Drosophila melanogaster: one gene and its partners. The gene in region 3 interacts genetically with the main gene of each other region. Each region holds a gene or a part of one and is shown on either strand. Other genes may lie near its edges.

Region 1 (5,053 bases), on a different chromosome or scaffold from region 3:
TTTTAGGCAATCAGGTTAGACAAAAATGTCCTGGACAAAGGGACGCGCGGAGGGATGGAATGTTTGTTTGTGAATGCTTCTCTTCGGTTTCTTACTTTTGCATAACGGACAGATATAAGACTTTTTGAAGAAAAAAACCAAATATATAAGTACATTTAATGCGATTGTTGTTTGTTTTTAGTTATATACACCGCCACACTCGCACACAAAACACACACACCGATACATGCATACATATATATACTACTTAGCGGTATATGTACAAAAACGTAATCAAGCATTAGTGAAATGTTTCGACCAGTTAAAAACCACAAATTAAATTTATTACATGAAAATCAACTAATGTGTAAACGCAAAAACGGCAAAATCAATAAATAAAAAATGGATTAAACTAAGCCTAAATTTAGTTTTAAACATTTAATATATTGCAACAATAAACCGAAATGAAAATAAAACTCAAATTCAAACTTGAGATGCAAGTGTTTGTAATTGGGCTCCTGGAACTCAACATATTACATTAAATATTTTTAATTTTATCTTTATTTATTGTTACTTATCATCATGAATGTACTTTTTAAATATTTACTGTAAAATTGCATTTTACATAAATATTTTACATTGCGTAGAATGTCTAGTGCTTCAGTGAAAACTAGCGCCCGCTGCTTTACGTTCTTAACCACAGTTCCACGCGTGCGCAGCGCCAAAAGACAAACAACGTGAATTGGTGAGTGCGGGATCCAAGTGGGGGGAGCTCGGAGGAAAGGAAGCTGGGGGGAGTCACCCTTTACCATGGCGGAAAGCACACAAGCACCGTCCGTCGGTTCGTCCGCCGATCCACACGACACAGCGCTGATTGCCGCGCCGCCTGGCGAGGTGAGGTTGTAGGAGCCCGACTGAGGTTAACCGAAAGCCAGGCCGAGAGAACGGAACAGAGAGCGGCGGAGGCTGCGGCGGCACGGCAGCTACTTGGCGTTTTCGATTGTGGTACATGCACAACTATTTTACGTATGTATGCCACACGGAGAAAAAAATCCTTCATTTCACAGTGCTAACAATTCGAGTTGATTTATTTGATTTTATGTTAAATATATGCAATATTCGTAAATTTTTTTAATATTTAATCATACAAAGTGCTTTAGTGATTTAGCTTGTGTATAGGAAACCTATCAACAGTATTTTATATAAGAATTAAGAGTTGAACTATATTAATTATCTGAACTGCTTAACCGCGGAATAGTTTTCAGAAAGTGCATCTTTGTATCCAGTAATTTTTTGCAGGGACTTCTCTTGGCATGCGGTGATCTCGGTCTTTCTCTCCACCTCTCTCCCGCTGTTGTGTGTGTTTGTTTCTCTACCTGATGCCCGATTGCACTACCACTTTCACGCGGTTTACAAGCCGAATGACAACAACAAAAACAGAACAACAAGGCGGCGAGTTCGAAAGCGAAGTAGAGTGAACCGAGCAGCGAATTCGAATTTTCGACGATGAATGCAATGCCGCAGCACAGAAATAAACGCAAAGTCCGGGAGATACGAAATGCAGGAGCGGTTTGCCCGTGTCGAGGGTGGCTGTGGCTCTCTTTCTTGCCCTCTCTCTTTCTCTCTCTTTTGATCTGCCATCTCCCTTCGCCGCAAGTGCATGCTGAAGTGGAAGGTTCGTTGCCTAAGTCTTTTGTACCTGCCTGCGTTTCGGCCTCTGCAGGTGCACCCACACACACACACACAGATGGAAGCACTGGGCTACCTGTGTTTTAGATCGCACTTGTATGGGTGTTTGGGAGTGTAGAGACAACATCATCGATTCGAATGAATTTGAGTGGCGCTGCGCTGCCGGCGTCGCTGCCGCGTTCGCTCAATATCAGTTACGAAAGAGATGAAACCATAAAAAGCAATAATAATCGAGCGCTCTCTAACCAGCGCCGCGAACACAGACATCACCTTGCCACCAATACAACTGCACGACGACGTCGGCAGAGGTGGCAGCAGCGGCGGCAGCAGCACATTCAACAGTTGAACAATCTCCAATTGACTCTTTGGGCATTATAGCCAAGAGCCGAGATCCAGCGACAGCGACGACAAGTTTTCCGCGCACACGGAAAGTCAGCAAGTTAATACACCGAAAATATATAGTTTCAAATCCGACTAATCGTTTCAAATCGAAATTACCTGTGAGTGCGCGTGTGTGTCGCGATATTTGCGAAAAATCCAAAAGTTTCTACGCCAAACAAACAGCAAAAAGTCGCGCTTAAACTTTTTCGAAATTAAATAAAACACACACACGAATTTCAGCCACGAAGAGGAAGAGAAGGCTGAAAAAGCGAAAAAAAACCTCGTGTGTGTGTGCGTGTGTGTTGAGTGCGAGAGTATCTGTGTGTGTGTACGTGTGCATGTCTCTCGGAGAGCGTGAGCTTAAAGTGTGCCTGTGTGTGTGCGCTTGCGAGCTGGAATGAGACGCCATCAAAGCTGAGCAGCGAATAATAAAATGCAAAATAAAAATAGTGATTAATAACAGCAGCCAGAACCAGCAGCAATAACAAATGCTAGTGCGGAAAGCGCGTAAAAAATAGTGAAAATACTCATAGAAAAATAGAAAAAACAACAACAAATTGGCTTGAAAACGCAAATGCCAGGCGCAACGCCCCCGAACCGACCCGCCCCCTCAACTTTTGCGCCCTCCAGTAGCAATAGCAGCAATATGAGCAGCAGCAACATCAAATGTTAGGCCAAAATGCACAAACCGCCAGCAACAAAGGCAGCACCAAGCGAACGAAACAACAACAGCTCCACATACCACAAAGAGTGGCACATTAGAAGCGGCCAAAAGCAGCCAGCCGAGAGCATTGTGTAAGCCAAAGGCCCAGAGAGCCAGGCTAAAAGCCCCCAGACGCACAACAACAACAACAACAACTAAAACAGCACAAAGAGTGGCGAAAGGTGCACCCACCAGCAAAACAGCAACAACGGAGCAACCAACAACAGCAGCAGCAGCAGCAGCAGCCACATTTCAGTTACAGCTCCAGACTCCCAGGTTGCAGACTCCCAAAGCAAACAGACTCCAGTCCACGATCCAGCTCCAGTTCCACCGATCCGATCCACTGCTCCAGCGTGCTCGAGTGCCATAGATCCTCACCAAGTGCCAAAATCCGCATCCTGATCCCAAGAGCTCAAGGCACCCCGGCCCAAAAGTGAGTAGTACTTAGCCTACCAAGAAGTAATTATAAACGCATCAGGCTATGTAGCCCTGGTCGGTTCATGGAGGGATTACACCGTCAGAAATATAGCACCCTATTGACCATTTGGTTTTCGGCTTATAGATCCCTTTTTTCGGGAGATTCCATCACAATAGCTGGTATTCCCAATAAAGAGAGCAATAAAAGCGGGCATTTTTTGGGCACTACTAGGGTGTAGAAACTTTTCAAAAATAAATATTTTTCAAAACTTGATATTTTTAAAAAACATATGGTATTACCAAACTATAAGATATATTTTAGCTAGATTTATACATAGTACGTCAAGTTGATTCGATGGAGTTAATAGAAAAATGGTAATTGGATATTATTTCGATATTATTTGACAACGACAATCTCATAGAAATATTTTTAAACAATTTTGCTGGAGATGTAGGCATAAAATCCATTTAGTTCGTGCGGTTTTAAATTAAAATGCATTCTGCATGTTTTTTTAATAAGTTTTATTATATCTATACGGCTAGGCATTTTAAATGATTTCAAATGTATTGAAACTAAACGATTTCATTACCCTGCTGGCCAGTGTTGCTTTTGAAAGCCTTCGTTCACAGTGGACACCCTGTATGTTGTGCAGACGTAGCCTAAGTCTCTTGGTCCCAGCCTCAACTCGTGTTGTTGTTGTTGTTGTTGTCATTGTTGCTGTTGCTGTTGCCGTTGTGTTGTTGGTGGTATCTTTCGCGCACACATTCCTCTTTGTTTGGTTTTATTTTGTATTTCGTATTTCGAAGTGGCCGCTGCGCAGCGGCAGCGGCAGGTAAGTCGCACAGGTATTGGTATTGCTGTCATATTGCCGTTGTGCTCCCAACAATACCTTGCTAGAGCGGGAGAGTTGGCCATAAAGAGCGGTAGCGAGAAGGGATCAAGACGCCTCTGTCTCGGTCTCGGCCTCTGCCTCTGCGTCGACGTCTACTGCGCAGCCTTCTTGTTCGAAAATCGATGATGTTGCCCAGTGTTTGTGATTACGTTTTCCCCTGGACTTTTGTGCTGCCTTTTGCCTCTTATGTTCTCAGCTTCTTTTTATTATGATTTTTATTTTCTTTCTTTTTTTTTTTTTTTTGATTTTTTCCCTTCTTGATGATGGTGATCAATTTGGGGCTGCGATTATGGTACAGTAAAATGAACATCTACGCAGCACTCACACCGCCAGACACACAGATACATTCAGCCGTGAGATACACACGCACACAGCGAAACAGGCACATGTAACCCACACACAAAAAAAAGGGGGAACTTCGTGAGAGAGTTATTTTATTTTCGTGTTCGTGTTAACGTTTATTGTTTTTCTTTTCTTTAGCCTTTCTTCGTTTCTTCGGGACTTCTTGACTCCGTCTTGCAGCCGTTCCCGTTCCCCTTCGCGCTCGCCACCCCTGCCCCATCCATGCACGCCTTTATTTCCCTGAACATTCCCAAATACACGGAGAGAAAAGGGGATGCATTGATGGTGATATTATGAGGATTTATTTATGCATATAATTATTCTTAAAGAGGCTAAGAAGTCAAAAGCTAAAATAAAATCGTTTCAATGAGTTTCTATATCATCAGATTAATAATATAACTCAAAGTTTTGAATCGACATGGCATTTCTTGCCGTGTACCATCTACCAACTCTCCAGTCTCAGTCATTGGTTATTGATGCCCAACAACTCTGACCGTTGATGTCTTAGGGTTACGCTGCGCATTTCTTCTCTTGTCTTTTCTCCACCTCTCCCATCTACCCCTCTCCATCCCCCCCCTACATTCACGCGAAGTAAGGTAAAGATACGTAAAATCCAAATTTCAAATTATGTCAAATCTTAATGGGATTT
Region 2 (4,926 bases), 8.7 Mb from region 3:
TCATTGATTTCGTTATGAATAAATGGTATAATATAATGTTTATACCTAATAATACATGGTTAAGCTGTCGATTTATTGGTTTTTGCTGCCAGAGGTTTCAATCTGATATTAAGGATCTTTAGTTCGGGGATCCACTGCTGATTTGAGTAGATAGTTGTCAGTTGTGGGCTTAAAAACTATAAGTAATTTGTATAATTTCAGTTTTTTAAATGTCCGTCTGTCTTTCGTAGATCTATAAACGTTTGAGATTATAACTCAAAAACGGTCAAACAATTGTGACTTGCCCAAATTTTACGTTACCCGAATAGTTATCAATGATAAGTTATCAGACTGTCGCAATGGCTTACCTCATTAAGATTTGATTTGAACTCTAATTATTAATCACAGACCACCAAGGAATTTTACATTTGTGTATTTGACATGTGTATTATACACGTAGCCTTCCAAATATACATGTAAAAATACTGATCAAACTGGTAGATAAAATATGAAATCACAACAACTATAAACTCAACGGTCTATTATTTAGTTTATCAGCCATTAAGCCTTTAATCTTATAGTTCAAATCGCTAGCAACAATTAACTTGCACAAAACAAAACCATTTCAGAGCTATTTACAAAACTTTTATTGCCATGAACTTTGTTCCTAAATGCACAACTATGATGTTAGTAATTAACGTTTAAGGATCGCATTACAAGTTGGACACATTCGAGTCCAGCACGGACAGAGCCTCGTCCTTCTCCTCCTGCAGCTCCTTGCCGGTAACGCTTAACTTTGTCTTAGCGAAATCGCTGAGGGTCAGGCCAGAGACGATTTTCCATTGCTTATTCTTGATCTCGACGGGGAACGAGAAGATCACATCCTTGGGCGAATCGTAGCTGCCGTCGGAGAAGACACCCATGGAGACGAACTGGCCGGGAGCAGTGCCGTTCCACCAGTCGTGCATGTGATCGCAAGCGGCCTTCGCCGCCGACATGGCCGATGACATTTTGCGGGCCGCAATGACAGCGGCTCCACGCTTCTGAACGGTTTCCACGAAGGATCCCTGCAGGTAGCCATTATCGTTGATCGCATCCACCACGGACTTAACGGTACCATTGGCGGTCACCTTGGCCTGTCCAGCATCGGGATACTGGGTGGAGGAGTGGTTGCCCCAAATAATGATGTTCTTAACAGCAGAAATTGGCACACCCAATTTGGCGGCGATCTGGGATGTGGCGCGATTCTGATCCAGGCGAGTCATAGCCGAGAAATTTTCGCGCGGAATGGAAGGCGCATAGGAGGAGCAGACCAGGGCATTGGTATTGGCCGGGTTGCCCACAACCAGCACCTTGACGTCCTTCTTGGCGAACTTGTCCAGAGCCTGGCCCTGGGTCCTGAAGATCTTCACGTTGGCGGACAGCAGATCCTTTCGCTCCATTCCCTCCTTGCGGGGCATGGCGCCCACGAGGAAAGCGGCCGAGACATCCTTGAATCCAACAGCCGGGTCGGTGGTGGGCACCACCTCGACCAGCAGCGGCAGAGCGCAGTCGGCCAATTCCATGACCACGCCCTCGAGCACACCAACCATGGGCGGAATGTCGAGCAGGTGCAGCACGATGGGCTGATCCTTGCCGAACACCTCGCCGCGGGCAATCATGTACAGCAGGGAGTAGGCGATTTGGCCAGCGGCTCCGGTCACCACAACACGAATTGGTTCAGCCTGAAAATATATTCACTCGATTAGGAACATTCCTTTAAGTGTATTTCATCTTCCTTTTTCCATTTCTTTATGCATTTTCCGTATTTTATTTCAAGAATGTTCTTAGCTATGTTTAGATGCAGCTAAACTAATTATACTGTAATAAGGGGCGAATTTTTCATCCAGCCTTTGGCTTTGGATCTATATTTTATTTTTAGACGCTTAGCGGCGAGGAAATATATGCGAAAACTGCTAACTACACAAAATACTTCGTATATATCCAGCTCGCCATTTCCGAATTAAAACCCATTTAAGTGCAATTTCAGCAAAATTAATGCAAATATGATAGCTGAAAATAAACAAATGCGTGACCAGGTTTTTTGTTACTGTTTTGAAGTGTGTCTTTATCAGCTTGCATTTGTTGTTTACGATAGATAACGAATTTACTTTATACTTTATACTTTAGCTAGAACTCTTAAATTTCCTCTCCATTTATCTCTGAGCTGGCATTTTCAATAGTTATAGATTTAATAAAACATTTTATAAGTGATGTGCTTTGATTTTTGCTTGCTAGTGCATTTTCCGCCCATCCTCGTTACGCAATCCCAGTTAATCCTTTCCTAAGGGCACTAAAAGTAGGCCACTTGTGGCAATTGACCCCTATTTATGTTTTGCCCTAAAGAAAAGTCACAGGGCATAGTTTCCAGTAAAATGTAGCTAAAGACGGGAATTACTAAACATAACATATATTATATTTTTATATTATATATTTGTCATTGAAGAAGTTTTTAACTTCCAAACAATTGGAAGCGTAACCCCTGGGAGCATTTAGCATTTTTGATAAGATATGACAGATTTGAACTGCATGGACTTTGCTTCACCGCCTCCAATCATCCGGTTTATATAAGCTCTATCTGCTCCGGCAAGAGCTATTAAAACATGAAAACAACATTTTTATCGCCGTCAATTGGCAATTAGCTCGCATTTGCAATAAATTCATGCTTTTGGGGGCCTCTGAAAATGCAACATTTGTGCATACGTTCGAATTGACGTCACTAAGGTTTTTGGTTTTTAAGATTAGCATGAAGAGAGGTCAAATGAATGTTAAATTTCCAGAAAAATTATTGCGACCAATCACACATACCGTCATAACTACACATTATTGTGTACGGCACTTTGAATGCATATGTATGCATATTCTTCACATTTGATAATCAAATATGCAGATTATTAATAATAATTTGATGATATATACTATACGAGCGTAGCGAGAAATCGCCGGCAAGCTTACCATTTTAGAATTTCACAGGTGCAACGCTCCACGGACGAACTTCAAGTAAAAACGTAAATAGGGATCGCCAATTGGGAACCTGTTACTTTTCACAATTATTTTCCAGTCACTACTTTTTGAATAAAAGTAGCCGTGACTCCAACGCAATATGTTTTTGGCAAAATAATCGATTATGTTGCTCCTTACAAATTTACTAAATTTTTAAATAATACAAAGAGTTAAGGAGTTCTCTTATTGTTATTAATATTTACAGTTGCCAAAAAAAAGTAAATACATATATAAATAAATAAAACGATGATAAATGAAAAATTAATAGAAATATAGTTATTAAATTAGTTAATGTAAACAACAAAATTTTGCAGAAAAAGCATCAAATATCATATTTCTTTGCATTATTCTTGGTCACTTTGTTTACACATACAAAATTAGTACCTAGCTATATTTTCATATCTGAAATACGCAAATGCAGTCGTGTGAAGTGATTTTTTCGCTTGCTATTATCGATAGTTTGAGCTGTGGAAAAAAATCGAATGTTTCTTGTGGAAAAAATTGGAGTCTTTAATTTGGCGAATCCATTCGTTTACTTTGCGTTTATTTTTAGCCTTAGTACTTTCGTTTGATACGTTTGCTACCAAGTATTTATAAAAATTAAAAAGCGTTCAAAAACACAATTAACCATTGCAACGTCGTTTCATCAGCTATTCAGAGTGAATAAAGAAAACCTACATCACACCTACAATCATACGTGTTACGTGTACATACATATGTGTATGTATATATACTCTTGCTTATGTACATTAAACATTTGCCGTTTTCCTTTCCAACCAGCCTTTTGTTATTGTCTAAAAATCGATTTTCGTTACCCTTTTATACGAGTTCGTGATTTGCCATAATTAATAAACAATAAATCACAGCTGTGGTTTGGTAAATAAGTGCAGCGTGAACAATGTACGCTTATGTACATAAACACTCGCATATGTGTGCGTATATAGTGGATTAACAAATTGCTGATGTACACATATTAAGTGCTTTTACAATGCATACGCAAATATCGATGCAAATTCTAGTAATTTTGCTTAATACCCACACGTATTTGCATGTCGCCATACTCACACACATGTTCGGTTATTAAACTCTTGAAAATTGTACTTTCTTTTTGATTGTGTTTTAAAGAGAGCTTCCGTTTTAAATTTGAGAACTTATTGATGTACGCAGGTAGTGCGTATATTTCCGAGCTGGTTTGATTTTTGTTATGAAAAGGTATCCATATTTAAAAATACTTTTTGTGTTTGTTTGTCTGCGTTGTAGGCATATGCGTGTGTGTGTATATACACAATAAAATTACCTGACGGCAAACACCTTCTTCGGGTCGCATTAAATTGTCTTTTTTCAAAGGTTGCATAAAGTCAACAATACCACGAATACAATGGGCAGTATGTAAACAATTTTGCACAAATCGCAACTATCAAAAAAAGTGTTAAATATGGATATTAACTAAAGTGGTCAGCTACAGGTGCCAAATGTCCACAACTTGTTTTTCGTAGTGTGCAAAATAACGGGGTGATTCATCTAATAAAGATCGCATGCCTTCCTTTTTTTTAGGTGTTTTAGGTAGACAAAATCATATATGCATAGTTTAGAAGTACAAGACAAGGGAATATTCTTCTTATTTCAATGCAGGTTCATACCAATCTGATGAAAATCCATCCTACAAAAGCTATCCTTGAGATTTAAGAATCTACACACAAAACTTCATCCTAATCAAATATATATATATATATATATTATTTATACATATAAATTTTATTTACTTTCTACAGCTTGGTTCTCATCATTATCAACAATTTTATAAAAATTACAACTGCGAGTACTTCATCACTAATCAACAAATCACCTGAAAATGAACGGCCTGAGCAGCAATGATGATGCAGTCGAGTGCCCTTTGTGTATGGA
Region 3 (4,945 bases):
ACATCACAAATTATCAAATAAATTTATTAATGCACTGATTAACAGTAATGGTACTAAACTCGAACCTATTAATCAAATATTGCACTTTTCGGCTTAAAAATTTGTCCTGTTGTGTAGTTACTTTACTTGGTTTTTATGTTGATTTTGGGAATTCTAAAAATGCTTGCAGCTTCATCCTTCTGCGTCTCTGTCTCCTTCTCTTCTCCTCGATTCCCCCCACCCCCTATTCGTGGCCCGCATCGAATGCAGCAGATGACAGGTTTTCGCTCTCCTCCGCCCCCTGCTTTGCTGTGCTCTCCGGCTTTATGGCGCTCCCCACCTCCTTCGTGACTCGCTGCACAGGATGTTGGAATATCACGTCGTCGTGTCCGTGTTCCCGTCTGTTCCTTGTTCTCGTGCTCTTCGTCTTCGTCTTGTGCCATTGCCACTTCACCTTTTTTGTCTGCATTCGAGCTAAAGGGGCTCCCCTTTAGCCCCTTCTTCACCTCAGCTACTCCTTCCACTTCCTTTCGCTCCAAAACTGTCTGTGTATTTTATTTTATTTCGTTTCGTTTGGCTTTCGATGTCTGCAGCATCCTTGGAACTTTCTGGCACAGTGGGCCCAACAAAAATATTGCATGCACCATTGATAAATATAGATAAATGATCGAAAGAACACACCATTGCTATGTTTACTGACAGAATTATTTTCAAAAACTCGTTAAGCATTTATTAATTTACCAATAGAATCGGTAAAAACCTTAGTACCATTATACATAGAATTTTTGTTTTAAAATTCAATTTATAACCTGTCCTTGTCAAGTCAGCACACTGTGTCTACATCGTGGACAGGTATTTTGTACCTCAAGTGGATTATTTGCAATATTCATGGCACAAGGTGGAATATACACCACCCTTGGGAGGACTTAAAATTTCGGGCTCCCCCTCTTTTATAATTTATTTTCACGTGCGCAGCTATACACAAAAAATACTTTTGTATTTTGAATTAATATAATTTTAAAATGGTCTACCGTACTGCATCCTTTTTCTATGCGTTTATTACTTTCTACTAGTTTTCGTTTATTATACGTTGAAAAGATATATTACACACGAGGTGGTGAATTGTTTACGAATCAGCTTCGCGAGTAAATGCTAGGGAAGTTATTTTCTCTATGTACAGGCCATAGATCGCTGTTGCTATGTACATATGTATGTATGAATGTATATATTAGGTTGTGTTTACATACATATTTACATGGGCCCTCTGGATCGTATTCCCAGAACCATTTCGCACTTCTCTTTTTCGTATTCTCCCTTTTTGCCACGATCGTGACGGTTATATGCAGTTCCTTTGTTGTAACCACTACAAAGCCAAAATAATTGCAAACTCAAAAGAAACCCATAAAAGCAAGAATAGAGTTAGCCCAGGAGAGAGAGCAGCCACTTTTTTCGGCCAGGAGAGAGCAGCTGCCTCGCTCTCACTCACACACGAGCCACAAAAACGCCGGCTCTCAATACATACATATATACATACTTAAACTGCAGGCCATGTAAAAACAAAAACAACAAGGCAAAAGGGCGCCCAGCATAATGGGGGAAACGAAATGGAAGAGGAACGCAGCCTAGACTAAATTGCAACAACTGCAAATTGGGGGGAACGCATGGCGCCAAACGAAACGTGAGACAGACTCGCGCGCACTGCCATACATACACGAAAAGTGATTATTACAACACAAGCGCTGCGGCGCGTGGGCGCGAGGAGGGGGAACGCATGAGATAACGGAACATGCTGCCGCATTAGTCACCACCAAAGCACAACAGATGTGTGTACATGTGTGTGTGTCAGCTACCACCGAACAAATGAGTGCAAAGGAGTTAGCAGGATGCCGAGAAGGAAGCGGAGAGAGGAATGGCAAGGGGCAGGGGAGAAGAGCATAGCAACCAGTGGAAACAAAATACAGTGAGTATTGGCTAAGAGCTATTGGGTATCTTTGCAATAAAGTGTTGCATACCCTAGGGAGAAAAATATTTATAAAAATCTTATTGGATTAAAAAACCATACATATTAACGAAATTAAATAAAAAATATTTTTAAAATTTTACTGGAAACTACGTAAGATCATATTTGATTGTATTCAACCTTTTGGTTATATGCATATAAATCGTAAAGTACATGTTAAGAAACCGAATACTGTTATTCTCGTAATTGGTAATTGAAGATGCAGACTGCGAACGTGAATGCAAAGTGCCAATTAGGAAATTTAACAATTTGGAAATAAAAGTCTACATTATTGGCAATAACTAACGAAAAGCAGAACAGGAGGCACAGTAACGAACAAGATAAAGCTTTAGTTGAGCCTCTGAACTGGTATTTTTTAGCCATCACTTCCGCCTTCGCGGGCAACAGCGTCGACGGCACGGCGGCAGAGGCAGCTGCCTGTTTGCAGCTGTGTGCGTGCACAAAAATAAAAGGGCGCATGAATTTGCATAATTTTCGGAACCAGATGGGGGGCGTGGCCGTCAACAAAATTGAAATGACAACTCGAGCTTTTCAATACCGCTTATTTATGTATGCGATGTTATTAATAAGCACATGGTGGGCATTAAACAAACCTGTATTGCAGTCAATTCCTGATGGAAACGGCGAAAAAGCATGTAAAATGAATTGCCGATTCGTCGTTGTATGCGTTTTTCCCGAGTGTCGGTGTTTTTGGAGCAACTTCACGTTGAATGCATTGCGCAAATAATTATGTTTGCCGTTGCAGTTTTTTTGTTTTTGTTTTCTTCGCTCCGCTTCGCCTCTCTGCTTCTTTCCTTGCCGCCTTTTCTGCTGATGCTTTCAAACAAACCAACACTCACACACGTATGCAGAAGGCGGCTTGCAATTATGCTAATGCGGCTGTTTGCGACACTTTTTCTTCTTTTTTTTGGCCGACACCGCACAAAACTGATTTCGCAGTTGGCCCAATAAAATTGGCCACAGAACAAAGCGAATTAAGAAGCAACACACACAATTCAATGCTCTGTCTGAAAACCGCGTCCGTGTCAGAACGCGTCAAGAACTGGAGCTGGTGGAGACATCGGCGCGCTATCGATACATCGATGACGTTACCACGGTATTTATGCATTTACTTAGAAGTAACTCATTTGATTTTCAAGAATTAAAGTCAATGTTGGTATGACACTTGGCACAAGCAAACAGTAGGAATGTTTCAGAAGACATACTCTTTTATACATACACAACTTAAATTTAACAGTTTTTTCGGGAAGATATGGCTAAGTTTTACTTAAATTCAAAATGGGATAGGCATCTCTAGTTTTTAGCTACATTGCATTCCAATTGGAATAAGCCGTCCTTAGCTACTTAAATCGATATGTTTCGATGACTCTAACATCGATTGCCGAGGCATGTGCCCTGCACGTTTTTTGTAAACAAACGAACGAGTATTTGAACAAACTGAAAATGGGAGCATTGGCAGAGGTAGACAATGCATTAAATATGCAATGTGAGTAATTAATTCTTAAATACTTTCCCCAGCTGGCTGGTGATGAGAAAAACGGCGAAGGATCTCGTACTTTTGTGTTCACCAACGAGGGCCACACGCTGGGAAATGCGCTGAAAACGATCATAGCCCGCTACCCGGAGGTGGATTTCTGTGGCTACACGATTCCGCATCCCACGGAGCAGAAGCTGCACTTCCGCATTCAATCCCGTCGAGACAGAGCCATAGATATACTTAAACGGGGACTGGAGGATCTGGAGGGTCTGTGTGATCATACAATCGTTACGTTCGAAAAGGAGATGGCCGAGTTTAATGCAATGAAAGTGGAAAATTAGATATATATGTATAAAGAATACTTAAAACTAAACCACGCTGCGCGCCTTCTTGGGATCGTAGTTGGGCTTGCGTAGATGATGATAGTTTGGCAGGACCTTGCGCAGGAAGTCGATCTGCAGGGTCTGCGATCCCTGCTTGTCGATGGCCTCGCGCTGCAGGCCCTGCTCTCCATAAACAATCGTGTTTTCGGGCAGGCGTTGACTACCATGGATCTTTATTCCAGCTCCCACCACACAACCGCTGGAAACAGTGACACCGGGGCCCACATAGCACTTGCTCTCGAAGACGTTCTTATCGCCAATCTTGGCCGCTTCCACTTGGCAGCCGACTTCAAAGACATTGTGAGTGCCAATGCTCAGGATATTGTTGACATCCCAAACGGCGCCCGGCTCCAAGCGGTGAGCTACGGTGGCATATTCCTCTATGATGCAATTCTCCCCAATTATTATGGGACCTGCGTCGGCGATAACGGTGGCACTCGGATGAACCACACAGCCCGACGAGAAGGTGATGTCACCGCGCAGGCTGCTCTCCTCGCAGACCACCGCCTTGGGTAGGATTTTGATTCTGTTGAGTGGCAATAGTATAGCTGCATTTCGTAAATTAGTTTTGCAAGTACTTATGCTGCAATCACCTGTTTTCCGAGGGCATTTTCTGTTTTCTTAAATTGTTTACGTTTTCTCACGAAGGTGAGAAGGAATTTATATTTATCGATAATAAATGAGGGCTTGCAAATGAGGCGATATATTATAGCCAGATTTAGTTACTTTAAAATATCGGAAAGGTAAAAATAATGATTAAAGACCTTTGCATAAAAAAACCAGATATAACAATAATGACGTCGAACTTTATTGCTCAAAAACCAAAATAATGTTGAATACTCATTTATAAACAATACATACTGATTCCCGTTCATAGGGATAGTTGTTTTTATAAAACCCTTTTATGCAGAGAAATATTTTTTAAGAAATAAACACAATTATTTATAATGTAATAGAAGATTTCCCGTCCAAAAATCAAATTATTGCATTTTTAAACTTTCAGCCCCCCACTTGACAATCGGCGTTTTCCAGCACTTGCTTTGCATCGTGTCTATCGAGTATCCGGCGAGAGGTATCGTTTTGCCA
Region 4 (5,182 bases), on a different chromosome or scaffold from region 3:
AATGCCGTTTAACCTAACTTATCAACAGATCCACGCGATGAAAAACAAGCAAATAAATGCCAGAAAAAGCCAAAAAGAAAGTAAAGTTTATGGGTGAACCTTTGCAATTTTCGGTGGGTTTCCAAGGACTGATTACTAAATTCAAAGCGTGTGGTGTGATGTACACTATGGGGTGAACAGCGATAAAAAGCCAATAAGCCAAGAAACCAAAAGGCAAAATAGCTAAGAAATCGAATCCCTTAAAATAGTTCATGGGCAATGTAAAGATCCTCATAGTGATGTTTTCCCTCGGAAAGTTTTCCTGGTCGACAGCACAAATCCGGGTCTGATCTATATTTAGACGAACTCAGAGGCTCGTCCACTGATAACCCGCCCGGCTCCCTCCTCCCCATTGCCTTCTTCTCAACCAATCGCATTATTGATTATGCATATATTTAGCGAATCGATCGTCTATTGACGTAAATTCCAAATAAGCCCGAATCATCGAAATGCGCCAAGTGGCGGTTAGGTGAGAACAGGAGCGAAGCAGTTAGAGTCTGAGTCCAAGTCCAAGTCTGGGTCCAGCAATTAATGCCGATGATGAAGATTATCAGGCCCAACTAGAAAAACAAGTCCATAGTTATAAATAAACCAATCGAAAATCACGGCAACGCGTGTAGACGAATTCGATTTAATTCGCAACTGGACTTTTCGTAAAGGGAGTCAAAAATGGGGACGGGGACTGTAAGAGGGGGGAGCCAAGGACCAAGGACAACCATCTGATCAGGTTTCTCCAAGGACGTTGGACGCCAGTCTCTTCTGGGTCTAGGCTAAGTGAGCGGCTTATTATAATTATTTAAAACAATTTTAATAAAAATTATATTTGGCCTATTTGTTATGAAGTTGAATTAAGCTTGAAGTTTTAAATTAGAGTTGGCAAGCGTTTTAATTTAACATTATAAATAACACTGCTACCAAATAAATGTTTACGCAACCAATGAAAAACAGAGCCATATTTACGTGCAACTTTCCCGACTGCTTCTGTTGAACTTTTTCTTCGAGTACCCAGAGGATTCTGGGTCTTCTGGTAAACTGGATTCGGGGTACAAAGTCACACCACCGGCAGCACCTTCATTTCTCCTTCCCCAAAGACAAAAACAAGAGTGGCCACATGACAACCATCCGGGCCATGCTATTCTTGGTGCGCCCCCAGAGTCACATGAATGTGAATACTGGCCTCCAAGGCGGCCATGGCCAATTGGGGAGGCCCCCGGCTCATCTGGATGCCGCGAGGGGGGCGGATTAGCATACAAATTTTCCGTCACCGATTCTACAAATAAGCGAAAGTTTTTTTCGATTTGGCAAATGTCCAAAAACGAGAGGCCAACACATGTGGTCAAACAGGCGTAAGTGGGCGGGCGCGTGTGATGTGGCCCACCATTCGATGTTGCACCAATGTAGCTATATTTGTGGCCAATGCAGCTATAGACACATCCAGAATTTACCCAGCTGCAGGGGACAACAACTGCTGTTGCCTCAGCTGTCCGTGAACTGGTTTCTATATTCGCAGCGGCCACATTTGTATCGCATAAAATCATAAATAGAATAATTAAATTAACAGCGCGAAAGTGGCAAATATCAGGGTGTTCAAAATAACAACAAACGCTTATCAATGCAAACGCACTAGAAAACGCTCTCAGCGCCACATGAAAACAACACTCTGCTGTTGCCATGTGGGGACATACCCCATATACGTATCTGTATGCCCATGCCCCCCATTCCGTAGACCCCCCCCCCCCACCCACAACCAACTCATCGTAGCTGCGCCGCCTGTGAAAAACCAAAACAATCGCCGAGCCTCCGCCGGCAGCCAATCAGCTCGTCCGGAGTTTGACCCTCTCACTCGGCGAGGCGATCGTAAAACCCGATTTGCGTGGCGATCGGCCGACTTGTTCTAGTCGCCTCGATGGCCAGGCGTCGCCGGCTGGGTATAAAAGGCCCCGGATCGGAGCAGTTGGCATCAGTTACTCGTGGCCAGAGTAAATGGAAAGATCAAGTGAAAAGCCTACTTTCAGTGGTCTGAAAATCAAGTTGATGTTTGACAAAAAACTGTGGAAGAACATATGAACGCAAAGTCCTCGACAGTAGAACACTAATTGTGATAATTACTCAAATTGTGATAAGCGAATTAAGCAAAGTGCCAAAAACCCTTTCACGCGCAGAAAAATCTAATAAAAATATTCCAAACTTTTTTTCGAGAAAAATTCATAAAAAACAACACAAACAAAATGCCTGAGCTCATTGAACAAAGCAAAATTATGTAAGTATACATTAAAGAGGTCACTCGAAACGCATTCAATGGGGGATTTTAATGGCAATTAATTTTTAATGCAGTCCATTATTTGGGGTCCCACTATCGAAGTCAGTTAATTAAATTGCAATTTTAATAACCCACTTCCCTTTTATCTCTCTCTTTCTCTTTAGCTCCGGCAATGTCTGCGGTCTGCCCCAGTTGCACAAGCTGCGCCAGGACAATTGCGGTCTGTACAGCCACATCCGTGGCATTCCCATCTCCTATGGAAATGTGGATTTGCTGACCACCGGTGTCCGTGCCTTCGTGGAGGAGGGCATCGCCCTCTGCCAGCCCGACCAGGTGCACATCTGCGATGGCAGCGAGCAGGAGAACAAGGTGCTCATCAAGAGCCTCTTGGAGGCTGGCACCATTGTGCCGCTGCCCAAGTACGACAATTGCTGGCTGGCCCGCACCAATCCGGCGGATGTGGCCCGCGTCGAGTCGCGCACTTTCATCTGCACCGAGCGGCGGGAGGAGACGATTCCCACTCCAGTGGAGGGTGTCAAGGGAACCCTGGGCAACTGGATCTCGCCCAGCGACATGGATGCTGCAGTGCAGCAGCGATTCCCCGGCTGCATGAAGGGTCGCACCATGTACGTGGTGCCCTTCAGCATGGGTCCTGTGGGCTCCCCGCTCTCTAAGATCGGAATCGAACTGACGGACTCTGCTTACGTGGTGGCCTCCATGAGGATCATGACACGCATGGGAGCCGCTGTCTTGCGCCAGCTGGCCAAGAAGGAGGAATTCGTCCGCGCCCTACACTCTGTGGGCGCCCCTGCCAACGGACAGGTGGAGCAGCCATCCTGGCCTTGTGATCCCGAACGCACCATCATCCTGCACAAGCCCGCCGAGAACCTTATTGTGTCTTACGGATCGGGCTACGGCGGCAACTCGCTGCTGGGCAAGAAGTGCTTCGCCCTGAGGATTGGCAGCACCATTGCCAAGCAGGAGGGCTGGCTGGCCGAGCACATGTTGATTCTGGGCATCACCGATCCCAAGGGCGAGAAGAAGTACATCACTGCCGCCTTTCCCTCGGCCTGTGGCAAGACCAATCTGGCCATGCTGAATCCCTCGTTGGCCAACTACAAGGTGGAATGCGTGGGCGACGACATTGCGTGGATGAAGTTTGACTCGCAGGGAGTGCTGCGTGCCATCAACCCAGAGAATGGATTCTTTGGTGTGGCTCCAGGAACCTCAATGGAGACCAATCCCATTGCCATGAACACTGTTTTCAAGAACACCATCTTCACGAACGTGGCCTCCACCTCTGATGGCGGTGTGTTCTGGGAGGGCATGGAAAGCAGTCTGGCTCCCAATGTCCAAATCACTGACTGGTTGGGCAAACCCTGGACCAAGGATTCCGGCAAGCCCGCTGCGCATCCCAACTCCCGCTTCTGCACTCCAGCCGCCCAGTGCCCGATTATCGATGAAGCCTGGGAAGATCCGGCGGGAGTGCCCATCTCCGCCATGCTCTTCGGAGGACGTCGTCCCGCCGGAGTGCCCCTAATCTATGAGGCTCGGGACTGGACCCACGGAGTCTTCATTGGAGCAGCCATGAGGAGTGAGGCCACTGCTGCGGCCGAGCACAAGGGCAAGGTGATCATGCACGATCCGTTCGCCATGAGGCCCTTCTTTGGCTACAACTTTGGCGACTACGTGGCCCACTGGCTGAGCATGGAGAAGCGTGGTCAGGTGCCAAAGATCTTCCACGTCAACTGGTTCCGCAAGAGTGCCGAGGGCAAGTTCATGTGGCCCGGATACGGAGAGAACTCCCGTGTGCTGGAATGGATCCTGCGCAGGGTCAATGGCGAATCCTGCTACGTGGACTCGGCCATTGGACACATTCCCGCCGAGGGTGCCCTAAACCTCGATGGCATGAAGGATAAGGTGGACGTGAAGGAGATCTTCTCGCTGCCCAAGGAGTTCTGGTCGCAGGAGGTCAAGGATATTCGCACCTACTTCGAGTCACAGGTGGGCGCCGATCTTCCGGCCAGCATTTACCAGCAGCTGGACGAGCTATCTTCCCGCGTAGACAACCTGTAAGAAGGATCAATGAGGAGAGTCCCATCTACAGCATCTTTACCTGCCCACACACCTGCTCACCCACTGTGCTATCCCGTACTGACCCCATCACCAACCCAATTTGTTAACCTGTCCTAAATACCTGTCCCCAATACCTTATTTAGTCGTTTCTCTAGTTCTTAAGCCGAAGACTTCCAAACTATTTATTATATAAGCAGCCATAAGATTAGCAAGTAGGCCATACAAACAGAGAAAATTAAAAAAAAAATAAAACAACACGATTTTATAACCTACATCCTATATGAGTATTTATTTATCACAAACTTGGATTTTTGAATGTTGTGAACATTCTAAACAGTATATATACAATAGTTAATATACTAATAAATGCTTTATAGCTGCATGATTTATTTATTAACGCTTCAAACAATCAGTTAAATAGATAAACAAGTTTTAATACGTTTTAGGATTTTTAAATGATTGCTAAATAAATTTCAAATGTTATAATTATAAAATGTGACACTTGTAACTAGTCTTGCTCTTGTTTCATAACTAAGACTTTTAATATTTTTCAAAATCCTAATTTATGGTGTTAATTTGCCAAGATTATAGAAATAAATTAAGTTAAATTTTTCCCACTTGCCTTATATAAGATGAAACCGCTAGATGATTTCCCAATCATCTCCTGCAACGGCTATCCACTGCATTCGCTAGCTTTCCTCGGCTCCATTTTCCAGCCCAATGGAAGGCCGCGAAAAGCTCAACAGTCGGAGCTTTTCCAGCACTTCGGATTCACAGGAATCGGGAGCCAGGAAAAAGGCAGCCAAG

What was found.
Region 1: of brat (region 3) and grh, changing one suppresses a phenotype caused by changing the other (phenotypic suppression), as found in Drosophila melanogaster (one study listed by BioGRID).
Region 2: of brat (region 3) and Mdh1, changing one suppresses a phenotype caused by changing the other (phenotypic suppression), as found in Drosophila melanogaster (one study listed by BioGRID).
Region 4: of brat (region 3) and Pepck1, changing one suppresses a phenotype caused by changing the other (phenotypic suppression), as found in Drosophila melanogaster (one study listed by BioGRID).

The regions. Positions count from the first base shown.
Region 1 is NT_033778.4:17,800,207-17,805,259, forward strand, and holds the start of grh (grainy head), read left to right. Parts: upstream 1-2,039; 5' UTR 2,040-3,185; intron 3,186-5,053. UniProt on the Drosophila melanogaster protein: Transcription factor that binds a CNS-specific regulatory element of the Dopa decarboxylase (Ddc) gene. Also interacts with sequences adjacent to other transcription units, including Ultrabithorax (Ubx) and engrailed (en).
Region 2 is NT_033779.5:10,393,242-10,398,167, forward strand, and holds Mdh1 (malate dehydrogenase 1), read right to left. Parts: upstream 3,092-4,926; 5' UTR 2,977-3,091; coding exon 2,974-2,976; intron 1,704-2,973; coding exon 693-1,703; 3' UTR 533-692; downstream 1-532. Other genes in the region: Cnot4 (CCR4-NOT transcription complex subunit 4), read left to right, coding at 4,874-4,926.
Region 3 is NT_033779.5:19,131,924-19,136,868, reverse strand, and holds the start of brat (brain tumor), read right to left. Parts: upstream 3,048-4,945; 5' UTR 2,593-3,047; intron 1,940-2,592; coding exon of another isoform or gene 1,889-1,939; exon of another isoform or gene 1,636-1,888; intron 1-1,635. Other genes in the region: Polr1D (RNA polymerase I and III subunit D), read left to right, coding at 1,889-1,939, 3,048-3,095, 3,518-3,817; DCTN6-p27 (dynactin 6, p27 subunit), read right to left, coding at 3,845-4,385, 4,453-4,469. UniProt on the Drosophila melanogaster protein: A NHL-domain family protein that functions as a translational repressor to inhibit cell proliferation.
Region 4 is NT_033778.4:18,534,771-18,539,952, forward strand, and holds Pepck1 (phosphoenolpyruvate carboxykinase 1), read left to right. Parts: upstream 1-1,996; 5' UTR 1,997-2,022; coding exon of another isoform or gene 2,023-2,106; 5' UTR 2,107-2,267; coding exon 2,268-2,299; intron 2,300-2,463; coding exon 2,464-4,375; 3' UTR 4,376-4,646; downstream 4,647-5,182. Other genes in the region: CG45087 (uncharacterized protein), read left to right, coding at 2,023-2,106. UniProt on the Drosophila melanogaster protein: Catalyzes the conversion of oxaloacetate (OAA) to phosphoenolpyruvate (PEP), the rate-limiting step in the metabolic pathway that produces glucose from lactate and other precursors derived from the citric acid cycle.